2 linked regions of the Mus musculus genome follow. Each later gene encodes a partner of the first gene's protein in a complex. Links are inferred from orthologs where the notes say so. Each region holds a gene or a part of one and is shown in the gene's direction. Other genes may lie near its edges.

Region 1 (11,139 bases):
TGTCTTAGTTACTTTTCTATTGTGACAAACACCATGACCAATGCAAAGTATAAACAAAAGGTGTTTATGGGACTTCCTGGCATACACCTTTAAATCTTAACATTTGAGGCCCAGGGACAGCCAGGGTTACATAGGAAAACCCAGTCTCAAAACACCAAAACTATAGTTTTGGGTTTTTTTAAAGTTGAGTGTTTAGGGTTAGAGTCCATGACCATCATAACTAAAAGCATGACAGCAGGCAGGCATAGTTCTGGGGCAATAGCTGAGAGCTTAACCTGTTCCACAAGCACAAGGCAGAGAGAGAACAGGCGGTAACTGGGGGAGGCAGAGAGAAAGAGCATATGTACTAACTGGGAATGGCATTCGGCATTTAAAAGCTCAAAGCCTAGAGATCCACCACCTCTTACAAACCACACCTTCTAATTCTCAAACAGTTCCACTATCCATGGACCAAGCATTCATGAGTATGAGTCTTTTGGAGGCCATTGTCACTCAAACTACCAGTCTTGTTACTTGAAAGTGGAAGGATTATCTCCCAGTTTACTGAGACTGCTGCGGTGTAGATTGGGAATAGGCTTTGAATATTGTTAAATTCAACGTCTCTTATAGGCTCTAGGATCATGATTAGGTAGGTAGTTGGATATCGACATCTAGAATTCTCTTGGGTGTCTTGCCTGGGTATAAATATGAGTTGCCAGGCCTGATATGCTTATCAGGCTTGTAATTTGAGTTACTCAGGAGTCTGATGCAGGAGGATCACAAATTCTCAGCCAGCCTGGATAGTAGATCTTGTCTCAGAGTAAAAAAGATAGCTAGAAATAGAGTTCATTGGTGAATACTCAGCTAGCTACCAAGTACAAGTCTATGGCCCTTCAGTCAGTCCCACTACTGCTGAAGGAAAGTATGGGAGTTGTCAGAAGGCAGCAGGTGAGAATTACCCAAAGGAGGAGGCCAAAGGGATCAAAGAGCTGAGGTCAGTCCCTTGTCATTGATGTCTAGTGCTGTTAGTGCTTGAGATTTAGACACAAACAGACATCTGTTGAGGGCCTATACTGTGCTGTGGAGGAAATATGGCACAGAGGGGGATGAGATGGTCAGCTTCTGTGGGGAGTTGAGGAAATAGTCGTCAGTGTGATTTTCCGAAGGGAAGGGGAAAGACCCAGGTAGGTGACAAGAGGAGGAACAGAAAGAGAACCAAAGGCATGTAGTTTCCTGAATGCTTTTGAGTAGCAGAAGTCAAGATTAAAAGTACTGTGAGGAAGAAGTGCTGGCTGGGCTGGTTGACCTTCATGAACCCTGGTTTAGGAGAATTAAGAGAAAAAGATCAATTGAAACTAGGGGTCCAGTCTTATAGAACCTAGACTATTCCAGAAGTGCCCTTTTCCTAGGTCCCAGTTGGTAGAGGAGGAGTTATAGTACTCGGATTCACAGGCACAGACAGAAGAGGACCAGACTGCCTCTGCATTGAGCAGTTCTGCTCCGAGGGAACTTTTCTCATCTCAGAGATCTGGTAACACAAGCCACAGGGACATGGCCATCATTGCACATCCTTCAGGAGCACCCTAGAAAAGGAAGGCTTTTCCTTGTAAGAGACAGGCTGACCTTTGGCAGGACAGCCATTTTCTGCATGCCAGTTCTTTGGTAACAATAAGATGATTGTCTTAGTTAGGATTTTACTTCTGTGAACAGAAACCATGACCAGGACAATTCGTAGACATTTAATAGTGACTAGCTTGCAGGTTCAGAGGTTCAGTCCATTATCATCAAGGTGGAAACATTGCAGCGGCCAGGCAGGCAAGCTGCAGGCAGAGCTGAGAGTTCTACATCTTCATCTGAAGGCTACTAGGAGAAGACTCGCTTCCAGGCAGCTAGGATGAGGCTCTTAAAGCCCACTGCCACAGTGACACACCTACTCCAACCAGGCCACACCTCCTATTAGTGCCACTTTCTGGGCCAAGCATATACAAACCATCACATTGATCGACTTTAGTATTTTCTTTCTTCTTTTCTAAAGATTTATTTTATGTATATGAGTATACTGTAGCTATCTTCAGACACACCAGAAGAGGGCATCAAATCCCATTTCAGATGGTTGTGAGTTACCATGTGGTTGCTGGGAATTGAACTCAGGACCTCTGGAAGAGCAGTCAGTGCTCTTAACCACTGAGCCATCTCTCCAGCCCAAATTTAGTATTTTCACTCCCAAAAGAATATATACTATATTAGCCGGACGTGGTGGTGCACGCCTTTAATCCCAGCACCCCGGAGGCAGAGGCAGGTAGATTTCTGAGTTCGAGGCCAGCCTGGTCTACAAAGTAAGTTCCAGGACAGCCAGGGCTATATAGAGAAAACCCTGTCGGGGGGGGGGGGGGGGGGATATTTACATTGTGGTTAATCTTGGTTGCCATCTGGGAAGATGGAACCTCATTCAAAGAGTTGCCTCAGTCAGATTACCCTGTGGGTCTACCATAGAGCATTTTCTTGATTGCTTATTGGGCCAGAGCTGTGTATAGAAAGGTAGCTAAAGGAACTTGGGAGAAAACTAGTAAGCCCCTTTTCTTTCTCTGGTTTCTGCTTCACCTTTGCCTTGGTGTCCCTAGATGATGAATTAACGGTTTAAGTAACCCTTTCTTTTCTTAGTTATGGTTACTGTTGCTGTGATGACCATGACCAAAAGCAACTTAGGGAAATAGAAAAGTAACTTACTTTCTTAGATGAAGGGATGAGATGCGAGCTGCACCCAGGTTGTGCAAATAGACAGCTTGGACTGAGCCCAGAGCATTTCTTTCTCTGTTCTGTTTATCCATAGGCTTAGGCCTGGAAGCTTCTGGCTCCATACAATCTAATCTAGGCCTAGACTGTCTCAGCCTCTGATGCTGACTCACCAGATGTAACTGTCCTCTCGGTGTAACTGTCATCTTGGAGGCTTACTGGTGAATAAACTCACCCTTTGTAGCTCTTTCTCAACTCTGGTTGGCTGGTTCAACTCAGCTCTTCCTGCCTGAATTCCCCCAAGCTGACCAATTCAAAAGGCTTCTCTCAGCTTCTGGATTGCTCTGCTTAGCCTCAAACTAACTCTGGCAATCTGTTCTAATCTTCTGGCTTCTGGCTCCTTTCATTCTGTAACTTGTCTTGGTAAAACTTTTCTCATTCTCTCTCTCTCTCTCTGTCTCTCTCTGTCTCTGTGTGTGTGTGTGTGTGTGAGTGTGTGTGTGCCCGGGCGCGCTGTTCTTTTACATCCTTTCCTTTCTATTTGTTGAGCATATCCTATCTCTGACTCTTTTATCACATCTTTCTCTGATTTGTCACTTTTTGTGCCCCTCAACTAGAGGTCACTTTCAAAAATGGCAGTTTCCTTCAAATTAACTTACACTGTTTGGGATTAAAGGTGCATATTAAGGGTGTGTCTGCATTCTAGTCTGAGGGATTAAAGGTGCATATTAAGGGTGTGTCTGTATTCTAGTCTGAGGGATTAAAGGTGCATATTAAGGGTGTGTCTGTATTCTAGTCTGAGGGATTAAAGGTGTGTCTTTCCAGCCAAATCCAAGTTGCTGGAATAAAATTTCTCTGTAACTCCCCCTTTCTGGTCAAGGTAAAAATTACACACAGTTTAACTTTCACAACAGAAATAGTTATCGGTCACACAGACTTACCAGTCTGAACGTCCTTGTGAAGCTCTGCTGATGTGACGTTCCTTCCTAACTGTAGCCCTGATAGCTGTTCTTCATTGCACAGCAGAGTTTCCCAGTCTGCTAATGAACTGAGGATCTGTCTTTTTTCAGCGAGTTTGTTGAACTGGTCTCATGCAGGGCAAGTCAGCTTCCTATGTTGTCTGTGTTGCTGTCTTTCTGCAACTCTCTTTCCTGAGTCCTGTCTTTCATGTGAGAGCTGACTTTATTCAGATCATATCTTTATCAATTTTGATAAAATCCATAGTCTTTCACTTGTGGGAACACAGACAAAACCTCTTCCCCAATGCAGCACATTCCCTGACTTCCATTCTGATGTTAAAACACCTTTAAAGTAAGTATACAGGTTGATCTAATTCAGCAGTTTGTTTGTTTGTTTGTTTGTTTGTTTATTAATACGGGGAAGAAAGAATTTATTTTATTCACAGTTCCATTTACTTTTCAAAAGAAGCGAGGGCAGGAACCTGGAAGTAGGAGCTGCTGTAGATGTCCTGAGTGCTGCTTACTGACTTGCTCTTATGTTTGTTTAATCTGCTTTCTTATAGAACCAGGACCAGCAACCCAGGAATGGCTCCACCCATAATGACCTGGGCCTTTCCACATCACTAAATAAGAAAATGTTCAATAGGTTTGGGTAGTCTGATCATATGGAAGCATTTTCTCAGTTGAGACTCCTATTAATTATGGCTGTGTCAAGTTGACAAAAACTAGTCAACATACTCCCCTAGTTGCTTTTGGTTATGTTTATCACAGCATCAGAACCAAACTTGGGCAGAAGTTGGTACCAGGAGAATTGGATATTGCTGTAGTGGATCTGTAGAGGTTTGATGGGAGGGTTGTGGAAGCCTTTAGAACTTAGCCGGGAAGTGCTCAGAGTTTAATGAGCTGTAGTAGAAGCTTAAAAGATAAGAATGTCAAGAGAAGCACCAGGCATGGGGGTGGGGGTGAGGAATTTGGGAGGAAGAGGGAAGGGGAAGAGTTGTAGGGACAGCAAAGGCTATCAGGGAAGCCCTGTCTCAGGAGGGAAAAGGGAGAAATATAGCCAACCAAGGGTTGGTGTGTGAGCGTCTGACAGAAGCAAAGGATCCTATCACGGCTGATGGTGGCATATATTTAAATTTTAAGAATCTGCAAGTTGGCGGGTTGGAAAGATGGTTCAGTAGTTAAGAGCACATGGCCACTGACAACTGTCTGTAATTCCAGCTCCTGAGGATTTGACGCCTTCATGCAAGAGCATGTACATGCAGGCAGAACACTAATGCACATGGAACAAAAATTAGTTAAAAAAAAAAAAGCAAGTGAAACCTTGCTTTATTGGAAGAATGGATGTTTGTGAGCCGCTGTTAAAAGGACAGCAGTACTTATTAAAAGATACCATAGCATTGAGATAAAATTTTCTGAAAAGTATTTTCTTAGGTTCAGCACACAAGCTGGTGGTCCAGAGGGAGCCAAGGCTGCATCTCAGACTGGAAACTGAAAGGGAGAGGGTGTGTAAAAGTCACCCCCATGGTTCTGATTTCAAGGCCATCCTAGGTAACCACGCGTGACCTCAAGCCTCTTGAGTCCATGTGAGGGTGGATGGATGGAACTTCATCCTACAGCACTGTCCTCTGCCTTCCACTGCACTCCTTGGCACATGTGTCATGGCTCCATCCACCCACCCACCCCACCCTCCTCCCTACATTATACATCCACTAGTTAATACTTTAAAGGGGGTGGTTAAGGTTATGTCTCAGTTGGTAGAGTGTAGCAAACATGAAGCCCTGGGTTTGATTCCTATCACTTCAAATACCAGGCATGGTGGAAGCAAGAGGATTAGGAATTTAAAATTGACCTTCACTACATAGTAAATTTAAGGCTAGACTACTTGAGACTGAAGTATGTACACTGTGGCCTACAAATCGGATGTGGGCAGAGTTGACTCTTAGGTGAGGAAACCTAGAAGAAGCCTCACAGGAATGATACCTGCCAGATGATCAAAGGCAGGCATATGATGCCTTTCAGCTCTAGAAGCTGGGGGTGGGACCATGACTAGATGAGAAGTAAAGGGATACGTGCAGTATCAGGCACCCTGTGTGCCTCATGCTGGTTGGCTAGGATCTGATGGGGGGATGGAACATTGCACAAGAATCACCCATCCCACACAGCATCATCAGCCCTGGCATCTTCACAGCACATTCCCCTTTCTGCAGTAACCCAACAGGAAAAGACGCCGCCACCTCGGCCTAACCTGCTGGAAGCAGGTGTTGAAGGCTGTGAGGAGCTCAAGCAGCAAGTGTCATGGGAGCAGGAGTTCCTGGTGGGGAACAGCCCAGGAGGCAGTGGACGGGCGCTGTGCATGGTGTGTGGGGCTGAGATCCGGTCCCCATCAGCAGACACTGCTCGCGCACACATCCTGGAGCAGCATCCTCACACCCTGGACCTGAGCCCCTCTGAGAAGAGCAACATCTTAGAAGCCTGGAGTGAAGGGGTTGCCCTTCTGCAAGACATCCAAGCTGACCAGCCATCCCTGCCCAGCCTAGGTAGTAAGGGTGAGGGCTGAGGGAGAAGTGGGGCCTGTGGGGGCCCTCGAGCTCAGTGGGCTTTTGCCCCCTCAGAGTCAGGCCAGGATGGCCAGCCAGACCCCATCTCCAACCCGGATCCTGTCAGGATGCCAGCAGAGATAGTGGTCCTCTTGGATTCCGAGGACAACCCATCCCTTCCTAAGAGGCTCCGGCCCAGAGGACTCCGCCCCCTTGAGCTGCCCGGTCAGTCAACAGGGAAGCTTTGGTTTAGTGGGACATCCTGTGCTAAGGGGCTGGGGTGGGCAGGTGTTATCAGGAACCTGAGGTTAAAGAGTAAACCTCGGGTAAAGAGTGAGTGGCCTGAAAGTACTAAAGTTGTTTTCTTTTGCAGTTACCCCTGTCATAGAGCAAGGGAATAAAAAGCCCCGTGGTCAGAGATGGAAAGAGTCCCCTGAGAATGAACCTGCTAGAAAGAAGAGAAGCAGGCATATGACCAAAATCTTGGACCCTGACCCAGGTGAGGGGACTTAGGGCTGCTGAGCCTGGCTGTAACACTGGAGCATGAAGTCCATGAGGAAGTGGACACCAGAGAACTTCTGCATGAGCTCGGCTGAAGCTTAGGGCTTGAGCCTTTGGGATCTGTCCTCTTCTACTCATACACACTTCTGTGTGGCCTTCTTCCAGACCCCCCGTCTCCTGAGTCACCCACAGAGACATTCGCAGCACCAGCTGAAGTCCGACACTTCACTGATGGCAGCTTCCCTCCTGGCTTCGTCCTCCAGCTCTTCTCCCACACTCAGCTCAGGACCACTGACTGTAAGGACTCTTCTAAGGACAGCAGAGCAGCAGAGGGCCTGCCCCAGCCACAAAACCCCTCTTCAGGTGAGCCCTGCTAGGAGGGGCCGGTGAGGAAAGCTGAGTCCCTGGATCACAGCCAGAGCCCAGATAGAGGTGCTGGGTGTTTAGGCCTTCAAGAGAAGGCCAAGGACAGGGGTTTGAATGCTGAGGAAGCTGGCCTCTAAGTGGGGCATCTCTGGCAGTGGTCATTAAGTTTTGCTAGGCCTTCCAACGCTTGGTGCTCAGCTCAGACCATGAGGCTGGAGCTCTGGAAGAGCTTCCGTCACTCTGGTGACAGAGGGGCCCAAGATTAAACAGGTGTGGGGACCATGGGCAAGTGATGAACATCAAAAGGATTCTCAATAATACAAGTGAACTTCCATTGACAGCTGCTGTTTGTGGTTATAACCTAGCCTACTGACTGAGAAACTCTTGAATATAATTCATTTGATCCTTATTAAATACCTTATAAACAAAGCATAACGTGGTTTCTAACACTTGAAAGTCTGAGACAGGTTTGCCACAGGTTGGAAGTAGCCTAGGTTACAGAGTGAGAACCAATCTTTACAAATCAGAACCCAAAAAAGCTCCTTCCGTAAGCTGTACATGGGGAGCGGGGAGATATCGGCTCATCAGGTGAAGATATGTGCTGCCAAACTGACGACTTGGCTTCAGTCCCCAAAATGAGAAGGAGAGAAGCAGGCTACTGAAAGTACCCTCTGACCTCCACGTGTCCATGGCTCACATATTTCCCCTCCCCAATTAAACTAAACCAAACAAACACATTTTTATTGTTTTTAATTTTTTTTGGTGTTTTGAGACAGGATCTCACTATGTAGCTTTAACTGTCCTGAAACTCATGATGTAGACAGAGCTGGCTTCAGTCCACTTGAGACCTCCCTGCCTCTGCCTAGGTGCTAGGATTAAAGGCATTCGCTACCCTGTCCAGCTCTGTTTGTTTTTGTTTTTGTTTTTTTGAGACAGGGTTTCTCTGTATCACCTTGGCTGTCCTGGAACTCACTCTGTAGTTCCAGAACAACTCAGAAACTCGCCTGCCTCTGCCTCCCAAGTGCTGGGATTAAAGGTGTGTGCCACCACGCCCGGCTCCTGTCCAGCTCTTTAATTTAGTTTTATTTTATAAGCTTTTTAAAAGATTTATAACCGGGTGGTAGTGGTGCATGCCTTTATTCCCAGTGTGCATACTGACAATCAAACTCCTGTGTACTTTTAAACACTGAGGCATGTCCACAGCTCCAGGGTGTTTCTGCTAACTTACAGTCCTGTACCATTATGGGGAAATGAAGACTGCAGTGCCCTCGGGGAGGCTAAGGCTGGATCCTCCCCTTGTAATGTTGAATTCAGATTACAGCATCTCAGGATAAGCAACTTGTGAATGAAGGATTGGTTGTTGCCGGGGAGTGCTTAGACCCTTGTCCCATAAAGTTAGAAATGCTTCATTAATATGCTTTTGGTGCTGGGATAAGTAAACCAGCTAATAGGCAACCATAGACCTGGCATGGGGCTTGCAAAGAAGAGGTAAGCTTTCAGTATGGAGGCAAGCAAGCATGTGATTTCCCTTGTCCGTAGTGCCCACTTTTACTCGTTTGGTCATATCCTTTTTCTTCATCAGAAGTCTGTAGAGGAGTGCACTATGTGCCTCTGTTTACCTAAATGGTCTTCACTCTTAAGACAGGCCTCACTCATGTACTTCCTTCAGTCAGTTACATTCCAGTGTTACTTCCTGGGCAGCCATATCCTCCTTGGACTTGCATGCTTCTGGGCCTCCTTGATCAACCTGGGGCCTTCCGCCTTCACAGATGAAGGACTCCTTCATCATGAGTCTTGGGGTATCCTGTGCCCAAACTACCTATCTGGGATGGTGAGTTGAAGCAAACTGGGTCAGGGCATCACAGGTGGTGGCAGAGGGAGAGAATGGGACTGAGGAGGTAGCAGTGTGTCCTGGTACTGTCATGGTATATGGAACCTTGTCAGAGCAAAGCCTCTGCTGGTTTCTTGTTTGGGGACCCAGAGGTTTGACAGCTCCAGGGTATTCAGCTTTCATAGAAGTAAAGTTCTACCCCAAAGAAAAGATGAGTAAAAATCATAGACACAGAAACAAGACAAGCTCACTGGCGTCAGCTTTGCTGAACTAATGGATATGCATATGAAGCTGCCTGGGAAAACTTTCTGGAACTTTCCAAGAACCTTGTTTGCAACATGTGGATAAAGGAATTTACAAAGCAGTAGAGAAAGTAAACTGATGTGTCCACAAGTCCTTCCAGGGGAGAGGGGTGGTAAAGGCTTTTTATTACTCTGTTGACCCAGTTTGCTTAGAACACATGATTCGTGATTTTCTTTGCTCAGCTCCCCAAGTGCTTACAGTACAATTGTAAGCCACTGTGTGATACCTGGCTTTTGCTTTTTTTTTTGAAACAGGGTCTTCTATAGCCCAGGCTGGCTTTAAACTATGTAACCAAGGCTGGCATTGAATTCTTGTTCCTCCTGTGTCCACTTTTCAAGTGCTAACTCGGGAAGCTGGTCACCACAGCCACAGGCAAGGTATCTCCAAGCTGAACTGAGCAGGAAGGCAGTGAGAGGAAGTGCGGTGCTGCACCTGCAAACGTGAGCCTCAGAAGGTTCTTTGGTTTGGCTCACTTTTATGTCCTCAGCACCTAGAATAGTATGGTGGGTGGGTTTTCTGTTTCTTTGTTTGTTTTAAGATTTATTTATTTTATATATGGGAATACACTGTTACTCTCTTCAGACACACCAGAAGAGAGGGCATCGGATCCCATTGCAGATGGTTGTGAGCCACCATGTGGTTGCTGGGAATTGAACTCAGGACCTCTGGAAGAACAGTCAGTGCTCTTAACCAGTGAGCCATCTCTCCAGTCCCCAGTATGTTGTTTTTAACAAATTGTTTGATTTTACCAATTCAGACTTGGGAGTGAAAGCCTGCTAGATGAGATCAGAGAGAGAGAGAGAGAGAGAGAGAGAATATACATCCCAAAAGGAAAGCTCTCCATCTCCACACTGTTGCAACCCCTCCCCCAAGTGAGTGTCCCTCCCTTCTCCTTCCTGTGTGCCTGGGTCCATCCTCCTGACTTCTTATTCTGTGGTAGTTTCCTAGCTTCGCTCCCTGTCACATCACTTGGTTGCTTGCTTCACCTCTTGACCTATGGTTAACTTTATTTAATCTTGTTTACAATAAACAGAAAGCTTTTGGATTATAGGTTTGTGCTAAGGCTAAGCCACACCACAATTAGACAGTTGTTTTGTTTTGTTTTGTTTTGTTTTCTGTAAATAGTCTCAGGGTTCAGAGCATAATTCTGAAACATTTCCCCCTTTTTTGTCTAATAAAAAGGAAAGAATTTAACTTTATCACAGTAACACTATTTATAGTACTGAAGCTAGTTCTGCCAGGCATTTCACAAAGTTCAGTTTGATTATATTTGGGAGTCTTTTTTATTTTATTTTATTTTTTTTTTTTTTTTGGTTTTTTCGAAACAGAGTTTCTCTGTATAGCTCTGGCTGTCCTGGAACTCACTCTGTAGACCAGGCTGGCCTGGAACTCAGAAATCGGCCTGCCTCTGCCTCCCGAGTGCTGGGATTAAAGGCGTGCGCCACCACGCCCAGCTATTTTTGGGAGTCTTAAGATTAAGTATTTTGTATTAAAAAATTATGTAAAACTTCATGTCAGTGTCCTATGAACTCAGTAGTTTGAATGTCTTGCGCATCACAATCTATTAAGTACACAAACTTTGTTTCTAGTTAACCTGTTTCAGACTCCAACCTGCAAGCACACAAAGGAAGCTAGATCAAATTTGTAGCGGCCTGCAACCACTTGAACTGGGTTCCCCTGAAAGGCAGGCTGGGGCTGAAAGAGATCAGACAGTGAGAAAAGAATGAGGCCAAGACAAACCTTTCTGTTCAAAGCCTTCGAAGTTTACTGAATCTGTATTTATAAAGAGGGTAGGCCCATCCCCCACCAGCCCATTCTTGGTGCCTGGAGCCAGCCCATAGGCGATCTACAGGGTGTGTCTCTGGAACATCTCACGGACCTTTCTGCAGGAAGCAGAGTCTTGGAGAAGAGCAAATAGAGCCATCCA
Region 2 (11,139 bases), on another chromosome or scaffold:
CCTGCTACTTCCCTAACATTAAGATAAGGATTTGTCCCCCTTACCCTCTTCATTGTTTTAGTTACACAGTGTGAGTTCCCTCTGTCTGTTGGGAAGGTCTACATAATTCAGACCTTTCACACACACACACACCCAAGCCAAGCATGATCAAGATAAAGATTCATTCAGAGGGCAAGATGGCTAGTGTGAAACGGCAAATGCAGTGCAGAATGTGTTATTTAGAACTATTTGTATGTGTGTAGTGATCAACACTAGCATGTTGAGGTATGAAGCTCTGTAAGTGTTAGCAGCTTCTCCCCTTTCTCCCTACTGCCCACCATTCTTGTCTTTAGGCATTTGGCTACTCTATATACACACCCTGTAAATGGCGTCATAGAGAATTGAGTTTCTCTGATTTCATCTAGTGCGGTGCACGCAGGGCTCATTCACAGAGCACGTGGCAGGAGTGCCTTCCCTTTCAGTACTGAAAGTCATACTCTGGTTTATATAGGAGTACACCATTTTGTTTATCTATGAGCCCTTCCATGTTGGAAGCTGCTGCGAATGTACTGTTTAGTGACTCTGAAACCTTCCTGTTTTTCTGGGTGAAGAACAAAACCACCTGCCAAGAAGTGCTTTGGCTTGATCATGGGGTCTTCTAATTTATATTTTTTCAGTAGAATTGCCACAATGTTTCCTACATTGTTGGCGTTTTACAGCCCCACCAGCAGTGCACAGGGTTTCAAATCCCTTTTGATAGTAGCCCGATGTAGGTGTAAGGGTATGTAGTTAAGAAGGTGGAGTGTACCTGCATGCTTATTAGCCATCTGTATATCATCTTTGCAGAAGTGTTCCTTCAAATTGTTTTTTAATTAGAAGAGTTTTGCTGTGGTGGTCATTGAGGAGTTGTAGTTCTTTGCATATTTATTCTTAAGACATATGTTTGTAACAGTTTGAAGAGTTGTAACTGTTTCAGACTATGTTGCAGTTGTCCTTTGAGGAACTATTACTTGTATAATTTGTAGTATCAAACGAATAGCTAGAATTATCTGGGGAAAAATTAAGAATTTTTTTTAGATTTATTTATTATATGTAAGTACACTGTAGCTGTCTTCAGACACTCCTGTATAATTTGTAGTATCAAACGAATAGCTAGAATTATCTGGGGAAAAATTAAGAATTTTTTTTAGATTTATTTATTATATGTAAGTACACTGTAGCTGTCTTCAGACACTCCAGAATGGTTGTGAGCCACGATGTGGTTGCTGGGATTTGAACTTGGGACTTTCAGAAGAGCAGTCGGCGTTCTTAACCACTGAACCATCTCACCAGCTCACTAAAAATCTTTTTTTTTTTAAACATCAGATCACTGTGAGGGTGGATCTCATATAACTGAATGAAGTTGTTTTAAAAAACTACACATAAAGAAAGCCAGAGGTGGCTTAACACTTAATATTTGCTGAGCATTCAACAGGACCTCAGCCAGTTCAGCAACTGCTAAACAGGACAGGCATCCAGCAATACCTATCACAGCAGCTCCAAGGGATCTGATACCCTTCTCTGGCCTTTACATGCATATATACATACATGCACAAGCAATATCTTAAATGCTTTTAACTAGACATTAAGATTTCAAAAATATAGCCAGGCAGCGGTGGCACACACCTTTAATCCCAGCACTTGGGAGTTCGAGGCCCGCTTGGTCTACAAAGTGAGTTCCAGGACAGCCAGGGCTACACAGAGAAACCCTGCCTCGAAAAACAAAGTCAAACAAATAAACAAAAAATCAAAAATGTGAAATTATTTTACTTTTTTTGGATTTTTTATTAGATATTTTCTTCATTTACATTTCAAATGCTATCCCAAAAGTCCCCTATACCCTCCCCCGCCCTGCTCCCATTTTTTTACTTTTACTAAATTTTTAATGATTCCTAGTTTGAAGAAGCCATTGGGGTTGGGGGTGCACTTGTGCTTCCACATATGTTTTAAGTGTTCTGCAGGGCCTATTTCATGCTGTTTCTGATTGCTGTTGTATATGTAATACCACAAACAACTTGTATGTTCTAAGTACATTGAATAGCATTATACTTGCTGAGAAAGTCCGAAGTTCTTTTCCTTTGGATTTTAATAGAGAAACTGACTAGAAAAGTCAGTTTTAATAGTGAGTGACTAGAAAAGAGAACTGAGTAGTTTGAAAGACAGTTGTCTAGACTGTGAGGACTGGAGAGACACCCTTTATAACCTGTCCCATGTTAAAAGCAACACACAAAAAGGCTGGTAATTCTTTACTTGCTTTTTGTATGAATGACAGAGTAGACCTAGGGCTATCCCTGGGCTGTCTGTGGTACCACTCAGTCATCCTGAAACTGCTCTAAGTGCTAGGAACAGAAATGGCCCTGCTTCATGGGGATATCCAGACACTACCCAGGTCAGCCGCTCCATAAAACAAAGTAGCGTTAGGTAATGGGACTGCTAACTAAGAACGGATCAGCACATGGGGAAGGTGGTGGTGCCACTGTCCCTAGTTGTCCTGGAGAGCTCTAGCAATCTTGCTAAGGAAATAGCCTGTCCCCTGAAGATAGAAAGAACTTTGGGTAGACTGAGCCAACTTTCAAGTTGAGGAGAGACAGAGGGGCTGAAGGATGGAGACATTTTAAATGATAGTTTTCTTTAGGGACCATAGTGATCACTCTAGTTGCTATAGAGAATACATTATAGGCATAAGAATAACTTCCCAGAGCAGTGATGAGAAGTGAACCTCTGTTTGTTTAAAAACTATAACACATGCATGTTAGGTTAATACTTTGCATTATGTATGTGAGGGTGGGTGGGCACATGGAGAGCTCAGAGGACTTCACATGATACAGGAAGAGGCAGCATGTGTGCTGTGCGTGAGGACTCTGCTCTTGTTGCTACCAGTGAGTCTCATGCTAATTCATAGCTTAAAGTAACTGCTAGCTAACCAGTGAAACCACCCACAGCGTGTGGATAATAATACTGATAGAATACTGAGCAACTGAGCACAGAGAGTAACAGAACAGATTGTTACTCACCTCGGGGCAGATTTCTTCCTGTTTAGTCCACATCTGGGATAGACCCTGGCATTTGGTTTGGTAGTTTAGTTGCTCGTCTGAGATCCTTTGGTAAACACTTGCTCAAGTATTTTGCTCTTCTAATTCCAGCAACATCTCGGATCAGCGATGCACACTTAGCGGACACAATGATCGGCAAAGCAGTGGAGCACATGTTTGAGACAGAGGACGGCTCTAAAGATGAGTGGAGGGGGATGGTCTTGGCACGGGCGCCTGTCATGAACACATGGTTTTACATCACCTATGAGAAAGACCCTGTCTTGTACATGTACCAGCTCCTCGATGACTACAAAGAAGGCGACCTCCGCATCATGCCTGATTCCAGTAAGTCTCACACACTGGTGATTTGAAAGGAATTTTTACTTGTGAACCTTAGGTGACGGAATGATCACTTAGGAAGGTTATTTTAAATATTTAGAGACATTTCAGTGAGGACTTTTTTTGTTAATGGGAAGTATGTAGCCATGTAGGAATAAAGTGAATCCGTTCTGTTGCTTTCAGTAGCTGTTCCCATTGCAAGTGTGGTCCTTCCCCTAGATGATTTATTTTGGAGCAGGTCATTGACATTGATGATTTCATCTGTGTATATTGAATTGGCAAGGAAGCTGGTTTCAGAAAACAGTTAATTGGAGCCTTTAGATAAATCTCAGTGCTAGAGAGGGGGCTTGCCAAACGCCTGTGAGGCCCTGTCTTATATCCCTAGCATCACAAAAGCAAAGCTGACCTGGAGAGAACGTTCAGTCACAGCTGATGCAGGGAAGAGTGGGCAGTGGAGTAATGACATGGGCTTCTGGAGCCGGGCTTTGTTCTTTGAGACAGCCATGTAGCAGAGGTTGGCCCGGAACTTATTTATAACTTAAACTGGCCTTGAATTTAATCAATCTCTTTCTTGCCTTGAGCTCCAGAGTGCTGGGATTAACAGTAGTGTACCCTGTGTCTATGCAGGGTTTTTTTGTTTGTTTGTTTTGGTTTTTTTGAGACAGGGTTTCTCTGTGTAGCCCTGGCTGTCCTGGAACTCCCAGTCCAAAGTCCTGGACTTTGTAGACCAGGCTGGCCTCGAACTCAGAAATCCACCTGTCTCTGCCTCCCAAGTGCTGGGATTAAAGGCCTCCCGGCCGTCTATGCAGATTTTGCTTCAAACATAGAGCAGTTTCATTTTTCCGTTTAATTGGTTTGGTTTGGTTTTTGGTTCGGGGGTTTGTTTTTGTGCTGTAAAGTCAATCCAGTGGGTTTTAGTATATTCACAGCCACGAATGCTTGTCCAGGCCATTAGCCTCAGAGCACTGCTGCATCACCAAGGCCCTGCTGCTTACCACCCCTAGTTTGCAATGGGAGTTTAGGATGATCTTGACCTTTCTCCTTAGTTGAAGATGACTTTGAATTCCTCAAACCCCTGCCTCCACCATGCCCAGCTTTTTTATTTCTGATCTCCCTGTCCTTTACTCACAGCCCTAAGCAGCCAGTAATTTTACTGCTGTGGAGTTTCATGTGAATGGGTCTTGTGTGGACTTTTGTGACTCGATTTTTATTTAGCATTTCCCTCATGTTGGAACAAGCGTTAGGATTATATTGTATTTCATTTGTCTAGCTGTTGATTCATATTTGGGTTGTTCCTGTATTTTTGGTTACTATGAATATTGGTGTTTTATAAAAACAGTATGTGAGATCCTCTGTGGGTGTGTGTTCATATTTTTCCTTAGTGTGTACTTCTAAGTGGAATTCTTTGGTCTTGGTGTCATCTCCAGGTTGCGTTGTCTTCAAGTGGGCGAGGGTCTGCTCTCCTCCTCACCAGCACGTGCTTTTTCATTCTAATAGTTCTTCTACTGAGGATGTAGTTTCCCGTTGTGGTTTACTTTGTGTTTCCCTGGTGACCAGTGATGCCATAGGAATCTTTTTGTGTGCTTAGTAGACATTTGTGTATCTCTGGTGAAATGATTGCTTAGAGTCAGTAGATACATGTCTTTTATTAGAAATTGGATTTCAAGATGTTCTCCTTCTCTGGGCTGTCTTTTCACTTGGTAGGGGGGTCCATCACAACAGATCCTTGCCATGTTGCTTAGGCTGGCCTTCAGGTAACTATATGATCCAAACTGGCCTCAAAGTCTCCGTCTTCCTGCTCTGTGATCATGTCCCCATGCTGGATTGCAGGTGTGCAGTACCATTTCCTCTGTCTTTTCTCATCTTGAGGATCGTAGACACCGAGGTGGTTAACTTTCAGGTCCAGTTCGTGTCTTTTGTTACTTGTGCTTTTGCTGTTTTTAGGTTTGCCGAATAAAGATCCTAACGTTAGGCCTTTTGTTTTCTTTCACATGGTTCATAGTTGGATATGTTTTTTAAATAACATGTGGTATAGTGTGAGGTCAGGGTAGAAGAGGTCAGCTCACTCTTTTTTGTGTAGATCCCCATGTGGCTGAGCACCATGTATTGAAAAGACTACTCTTTCTTACATAGAATGGCTTTGACATCTTGTTGAATCCTTTCGTGGATATGTGAATATGTCTGGATCCCCAGCTCTGTTCCTCTGTTTCTCTCTCTCTCTCTCTCCCCTTGCAGCTCCCACACTGCATTGCATTGTTCTGTAGTAAATATTGAAATCAGAAGTGTGAGACCACTGCCGTAGTTCATCCCAGGGCTGCCTTGGCTGTTTAGTCTGGGTCTCTTGCAGTTGCATATGAATTTTGAAGTCAATTTGACAGTGTCTGTAAAGAGGTCTACTGGGATTCTGTCGGTCATGTCTGCCTGCAGAGTGTGCTGCCCTCACTTAATAACAAGTGTTAGCAACTCTTCTACTCTGTGACTGCGGATGCTTTTTTTAAAGCTTTGGGTGTGTGACGTTTTACAGCAGTCTTTTGTAATTTTTAGAGTCTAAACATTCCTTTCTTTGGCCCCTAAGAATTTTTTAAGGTTACTATAAATGGTATTGTTTTCTTATGTAATTTTTGGATAAGCCTGTTGATTCAATAATTAGTATTTGATTTGTTTTGTTTTGAAAGAGTGTCTTGCTATTTTATCAAGACCTCAAACTCTGGATTCCCTAGCCCAGCCTCCTGAGTGCTGGAACTGTAGCCCATCAGACTAAACCTGTTCTAAAAGGACCTCTCCTTAGACACGTGGACTCTTGACCTGAGACCTTATGGCTAGCAGGCACACACTATTAGCATTGTGACAGTCATTTCTATTTTTCTTTGAAAAACTTTTTAAAAAGTTGTTGCTATGAGGAAGCCAGTTAAGAGGAATTACTGATGAACATGTCTGGCCTGGAATGACTGCTTCATTTTTAAAAAGTTACTGTTCGTATTTACAAAGGCAATTGTTTATATACTCTAGGATTTATATTCAGAACTATGTTCTTTAAAAGCATTCTGCAGCCTTTAGAGAGATGCCCATCAAAACAAGTGCTGTTAGTCTAGGAATCGACATGCAAGTCCTTGACACACAATGCTGCATCTTTTCTAATGACTTGATCTCGTGCCTTTCCAAGCTTCTGTATTTCCTGTAGGTTGTATGGACAGTTTGTCTCCCATTAGAATGGTGCTGACCTTCTTGGTAGTTCTCAAGCAGCCCCGTCACTGGGTTGAATCCAGTCCTTTTGTAAGCCTCAGGAGAAGGTCTGGACTCTATAGAGTTTCTGTCAATCAGTTGGGATCATACATTTGGAATTTCTTGGTAAACTTGGAAGTTTTCTGTGCATGCCAACTGAGGGAAGAGAATTTTTTAGAAAAAGTATTTCTTTTTTCACTTTCCAGTTTAAAAGAACTGACTGTGTCGTCATGTGTAGTTTATATTGTGTTTGTACCAGGAATCACTATAGTAGGTTCCACATGGTTATTCAGTGAGAGACTTGCTGTGGTTGGAGGTAAAGGTTGTTAATAGAGACATGTTCTATGAGCCACACTAGGACGCTGTGCTGGTAAACTCCTGCACTTCCATGTATGCCAAGGTTAACAGAGGTTGCCTTGTGTGCCTAAGACATTTGGCCACCCACGAGCCCGTCTGCTCCTCTAAGAAGAGGTTTAAAGTAGTCTCATCCCCATCCCACTTTGTTTGGCTTGTTGTCGGTCTGTGTTTTCCTAGGGACAACTACAACCTAGGGCTCTCAGGGATGGTGCTGCTACCTGGGCTATCCTCTGGGATCTGATTTTCCATTTTCCTGCCCTGGGTGGAGTTCACCTAGTGCTTTCTTGTAAAGCATGGAGACTTTAGTTCCTTTATTCTGAAACTGGGTGGAAGATGGTTGGCTACATAGAAGTTGAGGAGGGGAAGTTATAAGATCTACAGGTGGGTGGGCCCCAGTGGGCAGGCCTTATCACTGGGATGAGCAGTGTGTTCTCAGGAAGCCCTGTAGGAAAGTCGCTTTCAAAGCCATTTAAAATTAATTTTAGATGATTGTGGTTATAATTTAATGTGATCCCAAGGAGTTTGAGTTATAATATTTAAATCACTCATATCTGTTTGGATGGGGCTCAGTAGACATGGGAGAAGTGTTTTGCTAAAGTACCTCCTGGCAGTTACCTTCCAGACTGCCCTTGGCCACTTTGGTGCTGCATTCACATATATGAGAGTCTGGGAACATGGACCATGTGCCTGAAATACTTACAGAGTAATCCTTTAAGGAAGTGTTAACCTGACGAGATCATGATAAACTCAGGATATCTTAGAAGTGTTTATATTTGCTGCAAAATGTGGTAGTGATCTATCTAAATATTGACTTGACTTTTTTTTTTTTTTTCCTTTTCCTTTTTAAATACAGATGATTCGCCTCCAGCAGAAAGGGAGCCAGGAGAAGTTGTGGACAGCCTGGTAGGCAAGCAAGTGGAATATGCCAAAGAAGACGGCTCGAAAAGGACTGGCATGGTCATCCACCAAGTAGAGGCCAAGCCCTCTGTCTATTTCATCAAGTTTGATGACGATTTCCATATTTACGTCTACGATTTGGTGAAAACATCCTAGATGTCATCACAAACTTTGCCAAATTTGTGGAACTATTAAATGTATAATTTGTAGACATAAAGACTTGATTGCTTTCCAGTTTAATGAAAGCTTAGATGTCCCTGCGAACCCACAATCTCCACCAGCAGAGCTGGTGTTGTTCTGAATAGTGCAGACTGATTCGAACACAAGGCATCTGTGAGGGGAGTCCTCCCTCTTCAAAGCATCTGTGTGAGGGGGTCTTCCCTCTTACAAGAAAGCTGTCTGTTGGGGGTTACAAGCAAGGTGGTAAACGTTAAGCTAGTATCATAGTCATTTAAACCTGGATAGATTGTAACCATTTTCCCTTCACTCTGACACTGTCTTATTCTGCTGCCACAATGCAAGCATAGTTTGTTATTTTTGTTACTGCCTTTTTTGAGAGATTATGTATCTATATAGCTACCTGTCTAGATCTGCATCTGTGTGCCTATGTATATATTATACACACACAGAGGCACTCACCGCTGGCTCTCCTTTCCTTGGGGATTGGGGTGGGGGTGATAACGTTTTCTCCAGTTCAACAGGAGTGCTTGACCCAAGTCAGTCATATTTATAATATGCCTGCTCTTTGTTTAAAATTAAATTTGGGCACAGGAAGCACACAGAGACATTTAGGTTGTTTAAAAAGTCAGAATTTCTGAGTACCATTTCAGTCTGGAGGCTTTTAGCTGAGTCCAGGTATAAATTAGCCATAAACAGTCAATGACCCACAGTAGTCTTTAGTAAACTGTTGAGAAATCTGGGTAAAAGGCTGCCTTCAATTCTAAGCTTTGTTTTTTTGTGGTTTTTGTTATTATTTGTTTCTGTTGTTTACTCTTTAATCGTAAGTACTTTTAAACCACGACCCAGGTCCTTGGTTCACATGGAATAATAAAGATGTGTTTTTAGATGGCACATTGGTCCATTTGTACACACCTGTCATCGGGATCTTAGTACATGGACTTAAAAGGCAACACTACATCAATGGTTTGTATATGTGGTGAATTCCTGCAAGAACAGTGCATTTGTATTAGAAATGTAAGTTTTAAGGATGGCCTTGTTGCCTTCTATCAAGTTCTCTGGGACTTTGTAATTTTGATTACTACTATTGATACATGGTTATGGTCAGAAGGCCTCTTCTCCCTTCCTCCCTCACTCCCTCTCCTCCTAGCTTTCCCCACAGAGAATGTTAGACCAGTATGGCTTCTTGCCTTGATCCTGTTGTGGCAGTGTCTGTTCCTGCCCCAGGTGTGCTATTCACGCAGGTTTATTCCCTCCATGGCCTCCGGGCTTTGCATGTCTATGATGTGTGTGTCGCTGGGAAGGTCATGCTTGCCAGTTATGGGTGGATCGCAGCTCTTCGCCATCAAGTGCATTCAGGATTATTCCTGGGAGGTTGCTTAAAGCTGAAATAGAACTGAAATGCAGTTGGTAGACTAGCCAAACATCTGCTTGCTCTCACTTTGTTTTGGAAGAACCATGGTAGCTTGTCAGCTGGTAGAAAGATGGTTTGTAAAAACCAGTTTCTCACGGAGGTTGAACCTATCTGTGGCTGGACAGTCTTGGATACTGTCAAGCAAACACCAGAGGCTTGGCCAAGTATAGTTACAATTACCTAGTTGGGGTTCTTCCTGATGCAAGAAATTTTTCACTGTTCGAGGCACATGGTTATTGGCTATCCATTTAGTTTTCACAGAGGCTGACCACCTTACACTGCTGGGTGGTCACAACTGCTCACCATGTGAACATAGTACCTCAGTTCTGTCCTTGGCTGCAATCGTTGTGTGCTCAGTGTTTTCTCATAGGCACCAGGGACAGGCTTCTCAAGGCAGTATGATATACCCTAGTCTTTGGTGCCTCTAGTATATGTGACCAGGTGTCGTCCTGCATGTAAATCTCCGAGCTGAGTCTGACTCACAGCCCATGCTGTCATCTGTGGCACAAGTGGGTGTGAGTACGTCCTGCATGCACTAACGGTGCAGAACATGGCATGGTGACTAGAAAGTAAAACTCCTTTTGAAGTGTCCCAAGGACTGGGTCAGTTAGAACCTGTCTGCCACTATCTGATGACTTACATTGTGGTTTTCTACAAGCCACCTCAGTTAACTTTGGTTCCCCGTGGACTCCCAGGCTGGAGGAGGAAAGCGTGAGGACGGGGATGATTTTGATCACGATTCCATTTATTGCCTTTACATAAGGTTGAGGGAAGGGGAAGGTTTGGTTTGTTTGTCTTTTAATTGTTTTTTTTTTCTTTTTTTTTTTTTTAATTCCCCCACCCCACCCTCTTTCTTTTGGTGGCTTCCACCACCCTTAATGGTGACAGACTCCTGGGCCTGCCACCTTGGACTTCCCTTAGGCTCACAGTTCAGATCTGCATGCATTGCTTGCATTGTTCTGGTATCTGAATGTTGATTCCTCATTTAGGAGTTCAGCATTAATTTCCAAAATTTTCATGGGGCTTGTGGCAACACGGGCCGTGAATCTGTGTATAAAATTTACTGGCCTTCTTCACTTACCTGCTCTAGTATCGTATCGTGTGTGCGTGCGTGTGTGACGTCAGGCTGCCACGTAAACTTCAGAGAAGAACCTTAAAGCAGACCATCCATTTTTGCATGCTCTCTTCTAAGTAGAATGTTCAATGTAACTAAAACTAAAATTGCATGTCAAAGAGACCTAGGTTCTTTCTTTCTTTCTTTCTCTCTTTCTTTCAGTTTGCTTTTGGTTTCCTGTATATTTGCTTACTGTGCTGTTCTAGTGGTTGTAGGGTAAAGACGAACTGGTGAAGCAGTCGTAGCGCCGACCGAAGGTGATTCCAGTTGTATATGTCACGCAGCATTCGAAGGGACTGTGCACGCTCTAAAGATCACAGTTGCTTCTAAGCCAGATTTCATTTCTATTCTTGTTTTATGTGCCAAACCCCAAAGTGCATTGGGCCTGAATCTCTGAACACTGTAGACCCATTAGAAGGAAGATTGTTCTGACCGTCACAAATTGTAGTGCCTGAAAACACTTAACACTGATTGTCTAAGAGATGAAAGTCCTCCAAAGATGACACAGGAAAAATACTACAAGTAATTGTGGTGGAAATGTCTGTGTTCCTTGGGAATGCTGCGCTCTC

The links.
Region 2: the proteins of Spindoc (region 1) and Spin1 are in contact, whole or in part, in a crystal structure (PDB 7CNA), measured with the Homo sapiens proteins. The link is inferred for Mus musculus from reciprocal best matches to the Homo sapiens genes SPINDOC and SPIN1. Residues at the interface, in NP_612480.1 of Homo sapiens: Phe256, Ala258, Pro259, Ala260, Val262, His264, Phe265, Thr266, Asp267, Ser269, Phe270, Pro271, Gly273, Phe274, Val275, Leu276, Gln277, Leu278, Phe279, Ser280; in NP_006708.2 of Homo sapiens: Met154, Thr169, Tyr170, Glu171, Pro174, Pro206, Val209, Val210, Leu213, Lys216, Gln217, Val218, Glu219, Tyr220, Thr229, Val232, Val242, Tyr243, Ile245, Phe247, Asp249, Asp250, Tyr254, Val255, Tyr256, Asp257, Leu258, Val259, Lys260, Thr261.

What each region holds. Positions count from the first base shown.
Region 1 is NC_000085.6:7,369,593-7,380,731, reverse strand, and holds part of Spindoc (spindlin interactor and repressor of chromatin-binding protein), read left to right. Parts: intron 1-5,105; coding exon of another isoform or gene 5,106-5,222; intron 5,223-5,881; coding exon 5,882-6,211; intron 6,212-6,286; coding exon 6,287-6,436; intron 6,437-6,584; coding exon 6,585-6,710; intron 6,711-6,877; coding exon 6,878-7,075; coding exon of another isoform or gene 7,076-7,089; exon of another isoform or gene 7,090-9,589; intron 9,590-9,969; exon of another isoform or gene 9,970-11,139. UniProt on the Homo sapiens protein: Chromatin protein that stabilizes SPIN1 and enhances its association with histone H3 trimethylated at both 'Lys-4' and 'Lys-9' (H3K4me3K9me3).
Region 2 is NC_000079.6:51,141,141-51,152,279, forward strand, and holds part of Spin1 (spindlin-1), read left to right. Parts: intron 1-3,161; coding exon 3,162-3,395; intron 3,396-7,821; coding exon 7,822-8,021; 3' UTR 8,022-11,139. UniProt on the Homo sapiens protein: Chromatin reader that specifically recognizes and binds histone H3 both trimethylated at 'Lys-4' and 'Lys-9' (H3K4me3K9me3) and is involved in piRNA-mediated retrotransposon silencing during spermatogenesis.